Oryctolagus cuniculus: one gene and its partner. The protein of the gene in region 2 purifies or fractionates together with the protein of the main gene of each other region. This does not show direct contact. Links are inferred from orthologs where the notes say so. Each region holds a gene or a part of one and is shown on either strand. Other genes may lie near its edges.

Evidence for each region.
Region 1: the proteins of SF3A2 (region 2) and CHERP purify together in Homo sapiens (affinity purification with mass spectrometry; 3 studies listed by BioGRID, with this or other methods). This does not show direct contact. The link is inferred for Oryctolagus cuniculus from reciprocal best matches to the Homo sapiens genes SF3A2 and CHERP.

Annotation. Positions count from the first base shown.
Region 1 is NC_091447.1:64,910,670-64,914,307, forward strand, and holds the end of CHERP (calcium homeostasis endoplasmic reticulum protein), read right to left. Parts: intron 3,598-3,638; coding exon 3,422-3,597; intron 3,015-3,421; coding exon 2,579-3,014; intron 2,418-2,578; coding exon 2,179-2,417; intron 2,069-2,178; coding exon 1,935-2,068; intron 1,790-1,934; coding exon 1,703-1,789; intron 1,613-1,702; coding exon 1,469-1,612; intron 1,394-1,468; coding exon 1,277-1,393; intron 1,145-1,276; coding exon 1,050-1,144; intron 910-1,049; coding exon 724-909; intron 631-723; coding exon 578-630; 3' UTR 71-577; downstream 1-70. UniProt on the Homo sapiens protein: Involved in calcium homeostasis, growth and proliferation.
Region 2 is NC_091447.1:59,110,076-59,114,459, forward strand, and holds the start of SF3A2 (splicing factor 3A subunit 2), read left to right. Parts: upstream 1-1,502; 5' UTR 1,503-1,658; intron 1,659-2,282; exon of another isoform or gene 2,283-2,389; intron 2,390-2,680; 5' UTR 2,681-2,714; coding exon 2,715-2,840; intron 2,841-2,947; coding exon 2,948-3,019; intron 3,020-3,409; coding exon 3,410-3,456; intron 3,457-3,641; coding exon 3,642-3,751; intron 3,752-4,017; coding exon 4,018-4,067; intron 4,068-4,177; coding exon 4,178-4,318; intron 4,319-4,384. Other genes in the region: PLEKHJ1 (pleckstrin homology domain-containing family J member 1), read right to left, coding at 214-330, 419-482, 613-703, 777-843, 933-1,000, 1,079-1,172. UniProt on the Homo sapiens protein: Component of the 17S U2 SnRNP complex of the spliceosome, a large ribonucleoprotein complex that removes introns from transcribed pre-mRNAs.

The DNA.
Region 1 (3,638 bases), about 5.8 Mb from region 2:
GCACCTGCACCCAGAACCCGCCGCCGCCTGACTGCAGCCGAGCCCACCTGGGATTCCCACACAGAGGAAAGGGCTTTAAAAAAAGTCTTTATTTGAAGGCAAAACAGTAAAATCCACAAGAAGTCGTGAACAGCACGTGTGCGCGTCCCCTGGTCGGACGCGTCGGAACGAGTCACAGCTACGGGACGTGGGGACAAACCAGAGGCCGGGCCCGCGCACAGGGCCGGAGGGACACGGCATCTCCTTGAAGAGACTTGGCAGGAACGTGTCTGTGCCGTCGACGGCGCGGAACGCGTGGCCGCCCCCAGGGTCTCTCCGCTCCGTTCCGCTCCGGGAACAGGCGGCCGCCCACATGGCAGGGAAAACACAAAGGACAAAGTATCCAACTAAAGGAAAACCAGGCCCGGGGCGCAGGCCCGGGGCCATCCGCCAGAGCTCGCTCTAACGCTAAAGCCACGGGAGCCACGGTGGAGACCCCGCCGGCTCAGCCCGGCCACCCCGCGCCGCCCGGGGCCTCCTGCAGGTGAGGATTCCCGCATGGGGGTGTGGGCCCCACGCCCTCGGAGCGTGCTCCTGCCTAGGCGTGCGTCAGGTCCTCCTTCTCCTCCTTCCGGGCCCCGAACGTGGAGACTGCGGGGGAGGCGGGAGGTCACGGGGGCCTCGCGGCCCCGCCCCCGCCTGCCCCGCCCCCGCCCCCGCCGGCCCCGCCCCGCGCCCACTCACACTCGTCCCGGGCCTTCATGCGGGCGATGAAGGAGTAGCTCTTGTTGCGCCGGTAGTTCTCGTAGGGGTCGTCCAGCGCCACGCCCACGCCCTTGTACTGGTCCCACTTGTCGCGCACGTCGCCCCCTTTGATGGGGTCCTGGATGCCCTGCTCCTTCGCGCCCAGGCCGCCGGAGCCGCTCCAGCCTGGGGGGGGCAGGCGCGGTCAGAGCCGGGGAGGGCTGGCAGGGCTGGCAGGGCTGGCAGGGCTGGCAGGGCTGGCGGGGCGGGCCCCACCCCGGTGCCGCGCGTGGCCGTGGCGCGGGCGGCCTCTCCCCGGGCCTCACCCATCTTCACGAGCATCTGATGTCCCTTGTTCTCCTCCCCGAGCCTCGAGTCAGGGATGGAGGGCGCCGAGTTAGCGCCCAGGCCGGCCGAGGAGCTACAATGAAGACGGTTACTGTCAGGAGAGCGGAGGCGTTTATTGCGGACAGCGGGCGGGCGGCCGGCGCGGGGAGGGGCGCGGGCTCCGGCCCTCTTCCTCCACCTGTCCCAGGGCCGGGCCGAGTCTTACGGTGGCGTGGGGCTCCGGGAGCGCGAGCGGCGCCTCCTTCCCGGGGAGTAGGACTTGGAGCGGGAGCGCGAGCGGGACCGGGAGCGGCTTCTGGACGAGCGGGACCGGCTCCGGCTCCTGCGGGCACAGCGGCGGTCAGGGGGCGGAGGGGGCTGGGGCCGCCGCCCCGCCCCGCCAGGGCCGCCCGCTCACCTGGACCTGGAGCGCGAGTAGGAGCGGGAGCAGGAGCGGGAGCGCGAGCGGGAGTAGGAGCCCGACGACTTGGAGGAGCGCGAGCGGGAGCGGGAGGACGAGCGGCCCCGGCTCTTGGACCTGCTGCGGGACCTGGAGGGGCCGCTGCCCCGGGGGGAGGCTGTGAGTGCGCGCTCCGCCCCAGCCCCGCCCCCAGCACTAGCCCCGCCCCGCCCCGCCCGCCGCTGGCCTCACCTGTTCCTCTTCTCCTGGCCCTTCCGCCGCCGGGCCCGCATCTTGGCCCGGAAGAACTCGTACAGGCCGTTCTGCTCCCAGCCTTCGCTGCGACAGGGACGCACGGCGCGTGAGCTGCGGCCCCGCACTACAGCGAGTGCTCCCACGGCCTCCCCACACCGCAGCGTCACCCTCGGGAGGGTCCTGGGGTCCCGCCCTGACGGGGGTGCAGGCGCACGGCCCCCAGCGGTACCTGTTCCTGGGCCTGTCGTGTGAGGGCGGGCTGTAGAAAGCCTCCACGGCCGCCAGCAGCCTCTCGCTGGGCGGCATGGGGGGCGGCAGGCGGATGTCCTTGGGGTCCAGGGGCTTGTACTCGTGGTCCTCCAGCTGGGGGGGAGCACAGCCCTCGCTGGCGCCCAGACCCCTCCGCCCGGCCGCAGCCCCACCTCCCCGGCCCGGCCCGGCCCCAGGGGCTCCCCGAGGCCCAGCGCCCTCACCTTCACGAGCGGCGCCATGAGGCCAGCGGGGAGGTCGAAGTAGGGCACGTTGGGGACCAGGCTGGGGTCGTCGTGGTTGATGTGCGGGGGGCCCTGCCGCCGCATGTGGGGGGGCTGCCCATTGAAGCCATGGGGGGGCGGGCCGAAGTCGGGGTGCTGGGGCCCCGCCCAGGGCGGGTGCTCGTTGATGGCGGGGTGCGGCATGCGGTGGCCGGGGTGGTGGTGCGGGGGGCCCATGTCTGCAAGACCCAGACTCGTGTCAGGGCTGCGGGCCTGACCCCGCAGGGTGGGCCCAGGGGAGGCTAGGAGGGAAGCCGCTGCCCCGTGACCCACCCCGCGCTGTGGGGTGCTGCTCCCGGGGGGGGGGGGGGGCACGGCCAGGGAGGGATGCAGCCCTCACCGGCGGGGAAGTCCCCCTGCGGGTAGTCGAAGCGGTGCGGGTAGGGTGGCCGCTCGAAGGGGTGGCGCGGCGGGAAGTCGTCCTGCATGAAGCGCGGCGGGAAGCGGTTGAAGTTGTGCGGGTGCGGCGGCTGGTTGAACTGCGGGTGCTGCTGGTGCGGCGGGAAGGGCCCGCGGAAGGGCGGCGGCCGCTGCACGCGGAAGGGCGGCTCGCGCTGCCCGCCGGCCCAGGGCGGCTGCTCGTGCTGGCTGTTCCAGGGGCCCTCGAACTGGCTGTTCCAGTTGGGGTCGGGCTGGTTGCTCCAGGGCGCGTCGCGCTGGCCGTTCCAGCCGGGGTCCCCGCGCTGCTCGCCCCACATGCCCTCGTGGCTGTTGCCCCAGGGGGGGCAGTGGGGCGGCCCGCCCTGGTGGTGCGGGTAGGGGGGCTGCTCCGGAGGCTGCAAGGCAAGGCGGCGCCGTGAGCGAGCTGGCTGCCGGGCCCTCCGTGCCCCCACGCGGGCCCCCTCACCGCCCTGGCAGAGGGCACAAGGGCAGGTGCGCCTGGACCCCGCACCCCTGTGCCCACGGCTGCGGAATGGCCAGCACACACCTGTCTCTACTGCTCGCAGTCGCACCCCGGGGGCCATGCCCAGTGCCAGTCTCTGACCGGACCCAGCGTGCCACACGGCCTGGCGCACTGTGCCGGGGTGGGGACCTCAGGACCCGGGGCAGCGCCCTTGCTGGGGAAGCAGAGCCCTCACCCAGGGGCTCAGGGGGAGCGCCGGGAATGGGCCGCGGCTCGGGTGGCTGCCAGCCCCGCAGGCCAAGGCTGTCCCCCGCCCCCAGCCCGAGTTCCAAGCAATACCTGCTGTTGGCCCCAGGGAGCGACAGGGTGGGGCTGGTCAAACCACGGCGGCTTGTTGGGTGGGATCTGGTCGTGGGGCCCAGGGCCCCGGGGGCCGGCGGCTGCAGGGTCCTGGACGCCGCCCGCGGAGTCGTAGTCCGAGGAGCCGGGCATCTGGATGGCTGGCTTGCTGTCGTCTGCATCCGGGCGAGAGGCAGTTAGAGCGCCGCCAGCAGGA
Region 2 (4,384 bases):
ACCACCGGGATTGGAAAAGGAGGCCCCTTTATTGAGCGCGGGGACCCTGGGGCTCGCCCCGGCCCGTTCACAGCACGGTCTAGCTCCGCTCTACATTCAGCCGGTCCAGGACGGCCGGTGCCGCGGGGAGGGGCCTCGCAGGGCGGGGACCCCCAGAGGGCAGCCCCCGCCTCCGCCAGGAACCCCTCCCACGCAGGCTCGGCCGGGCCGGGGTCAGTCCAGCGCGTCCAGCCCGGGCCCGGGCCCGGTGCCCGCCGGCCGCCCGTCGCTGGGCGGGCTGCTGATCTGGAAGCGGGCCTCCGCGGAGATCCCGAACTGCTCCAGGGGGTCCTAGGGCGGCGGGCGGGGAGACGCGGTGACCCGGGGCCCGGGGCCGGGAGCCCCGCCCGCCCGGCCGCCCCGCACGCGCCCCCCGCACCTTGCCCGTCATCTTCTGGATCTCATTCCGGTAGAAGATGAGGCTCCTCCGCATGACCTCGTAGCTGCGGGAGAGGCCGTGCCCGCGGGGTCAGGCCGCCGCCCCCGCCGCGCCCGCCGCGCCCGCCGCCCCCGTCGCGCCCGCCGCGCCCGCCGCGCCCGCCGCCCCCGCCGCCCCCGCCGCCCCGGCCCCACCTGGCCCTGCGCAGCGCCTCCGTCCACTGCCGGCACTGCTCCTCGCTGCCGCACTCGAACACGTACTTCCTCTCCGGGTCCTCCAGGAAGCCTGCGGGAGCGGCCGCTGTGGGTGCCCGCGCCCGCCCCGCGCCCGCGCCGCCCCGCCCGGCCCGCGCACTCACCGATGGAGAAGCTCCGCGCCTCCTCCTGGGCGACCCGGCAGCGCTCCAGCAAGAGGGCTCCGACGGGCTGCGGGCACACGCGCCGTGAGCGGGGCCGCCCCGCGCCCGCGCGCCCCGCGCCGCGCCCCGCCCCCGCGCCCCGCGCCCCGCGCCCACCTCGGCCTCGTCCGTGCGGAAGTAGAAGAGGAAGTTCACCACCAGCTTCACCAGGCGCCGCTTCAGCACTGCGGGCACACAGCGGGCTCAGGGCGGCCGCGCGCCCCCGCGCCCCCGCGCCCCCGCCCGCGCCCGCGCCCGCTCACCGCTGCCCTTCTTGGGGCCCCGCATGCCCAGCTCAGCCGCCATCTCGGCCGGCTGCCGGGACAGCGCCTGCAGCTCCTTCTCGTTGTAGCGCATGGCGCCGGCGCTGCCCGGGACCGGGAACGCGCGCTGCTAGCTCTGAGCCCTCTCGGCCGCCGTCCCCGCTCGCGCCAGAAAGATCCCAGGTCGGAGCCCCGGAAGCGCCATTGCGCCTGCGCGCCACGGGCGAGTCTTGCGCGCTGCGACCGCGGCGTGCTGGGGCGTGGGTACACGCCGGGCAGCCGCGACACAGCCGCGGAATAAAGTGGGTCTGAGGCGCAAGCAGGATCGAAGGACCGCCGAGCGCGGGCGGACGGGGCGTTACCGGTTCCCGCCCCCGCCCCCAAGAGCCGACGCGGGTGCGCGCGCGGAGCGCGTTGTGCGCAGGCGCGCCTCGGGCACGCGCATGCGCACACTCGAGGGCCCGTCCTCCCTCCGGAAGTGCTGCGAGCGCCCGCGCCGCGCGTGCGCACTGCGACGTCGTGGCGGCGGCTCCTGAGGCGGACGGCGGAGGCCTGCGACGCGGGGCGCGACCCACACGAAGTAGGCGCGGGGGCCATCGGGGCCCCGGGGCGCCCAGGGTGGGCTGGGGGCGCGGGAGGGAGGGGCCGGGGCGGGCGGCGGGCCCCACGGCGACCCCGGCCCTCCGGAACTCCGCGGCGGGCGTCGCGGGGGTCGCGGGGGTCTCGCGTCCGTCCGGGGCGGGCTCCGGGGTCCGGGGAGCGGCCGCGGGCCTTCGGCTGCTCGGCGGGGCGGGCCCGGGCCGCGGGGCCGCGCGCGGGGGTGCGTGCCGGCGTTCCCGCCAAAAGCCGCCGGGACCCCCGAGGCCGCCCCCGCTGGCGCCTTTGTCGTCGTGGGGGTCGGTCGCGGGCGCCCGGGGGGCTGCGGGGCGTCCCGGGTGCGGACGGCGATGCGGCTGCGTCTTAGATTTCCCTCCCGCAAGCCTGCGTGCCCGGGGCCGCGTCTTCCCCTCGGTCCGCTGTCCGACTGTCCCTTCGCGTGGTTCCCCCTCCCCCAGCCCTGAGGTCCTGGGTTCGCGTCCCGATGGAGGGGCTGTGGGGCCGCCAGGGCTCGTGCGTGGACCGCGGGCGGGCCCGGGTCGCCCTGGGGTCAGCCGGGGGCGGCTCGTGCGTGGACCGCGGGCGGGCCCGGTAGCGCCCTGGGGTCAGCCGGGCCGCCCGCGCCGTGCCCGGAAGTCGGGGTCGCAGGGGCGGGGTCTCCTCCCGCCGGTCCAGTCCCCGGAGGCCGGGCCGGGCCGGGCCGGGTCAGAGCAGGTGCGGGGCCCGGGCCGGCAGCCAGGACTCGGGCCAGTGCCCGAATGGGGCCCGAGCGGCCCCTGCCGTCCACGGGGAGGCCCAGCCCTGGCTTAGGGGCATTGGGGAGTGGACGGCGGGGGGGCGCCAGGCGGTCGTCCGCGCCCCCGTTCTCCCCGACGCCCGCGGCTGGGCCCGGCGGCTGACACGGGAGAGCCCGCGTGGGTGCGCCCGGGAGGGGCTGGGGGCTGCCTCCTGGGGTCTCCGGCCCCCGCCGCGTCCTGAGGGCCCCCCCCGGTCTGGGCTCCGCAGGCTTCTCCGGCGCTGAGGTCCGCAGGCCGGCACCATGGACTTCCAGCACCGCCCCGGCGGCAAGACCGGGAGTGGGGGCGTGGCCTCCTCCTCCGAGAGCAACCGGGACCGCCGCGAGCGCCTGCGGCAGCTGGCCCTGGAGACCATCGACATCAACAAGGTAGGGCCGCCCGCCCGCCCCCCCGCGGGGCGCCCCCGACGCCCCCGACGCGCCCGACGCCCCCGACGCCCCTGACGCCCCTGACGCCCCGCGCCGCTCTCCCCCAGGACCCCTACTTCATGAAGAACCACCTGGGCTCCTACGAGTGCAAGCTGTGCCTGACCCTGCACAACAACGAGGTACTGGCCGGCCTGGTACCCTGCCCCCGCCCCTGCCTGCCCCCGCCCCGCCCACCGGCCGGCCTGAACCCCTCGCCCCCGCCCCGCCCACCGGCCGGCCTGGCCCCCCCCCTCCACCGGCCGGCCTGATCCCCCCCCTTCCCGCCCTGTCCACTGGCCGGCCTGGTCCCCCGCTCCTGCCTGCCACCGGCCTGGCCCCGCCCCCAGCCGGCCTGATCCCCCCGCCCCCGGCCTGACCCCCGCCTGCCGCTGCCCCACCCCCCGGCCGGCTTGGTCCCCCCCTCCCGCCCTGTCCACTGTTCGGCCTGGTCCTCCCCCACCCCGCCTGCCGCTACCCCGCCCACCGGCCTGGCCCCGCCCCCGGCCTCATGTCCCGCCTCCTCCACGCAGGGCAGCTACCTCGCACACACTCAAGGGAAGAAGCATCAGACCAACTTGTGAGTGCCCCCCGCGCCCCCCGGCTGTGACACGGGGGAGGGCCCCTTGACCCGCCCCCCAGCCGCAGGGCCCCGCCCCTCACCCCCCCCGCGGGAGCCCAAGGCCGGGCAGGGGGGCTCCTGCACCTGCGCCCGTGGCCTTGGCCTGGTGTGGAGGACCACAGCGCCCGTCTGCCCCGCCCCAGGGCCCGGCGCGCAGCCAAGGAGGCCAAGGAGGCGCCCGCCCAGCCCGCGCCCGAGAAGGTCAAGGTGGAGGTGAAGAAGTTCGTGAAGATCGGACGCCCTGGCTACAAAGGTGAGGGGGCGGGGCCGCCCGACACCAGCCCTGGGCGGGGGGGGGGGGGCAGGCGGGGACAGGCGAGGCCCTGGGCAGGGAGGGGCAGGCGGGGACAGGCGAGGCCGTGGGGCTGTGGGCAGGCGGGGTCCTGGGCACGGAGGGGCAGGCGGGGCTGTGGCGTGCAGCCCTGGGCCGGCCCTCTGAGCTGGGACCTGGGCCTCACCTGCCGCCCTGGGCGGGACGTGGGGCTGCGGGGGGGCCCCTCACCGGCCCTGGTGTTGCAGTGACCAAGCAGCGGGACACGGAGATGGGCCAGCAGAGCCTGCTCTTCCAGGTGGGCGGGGCCGCGGGGTCGGGGGGGGGGCCGCGGGGGCGGGGCCGGGTGGGGGCTGCGGGGGCGGGGGGCAGTGGGGGCTGGGGGCCCCTGACACTGCCCGCCCGCAGATCGACTACCCCGAGATCGCCGAGGGCATCACCCCCCGGCACCGCTTCATGTCGGCCTACGAGCAGAGGATCGAGCCCCCGGACCGGCGCTGGCAGTACCTGCTGATGGCCGCCGAGCCCTACGAGACCATCGCCTTCAAGGTAGGGCCCCCCGCCTCCCTCGGACCCACGGCGCCCCCTCCCCGCCCCGCCCTGGGTCTCGGCACC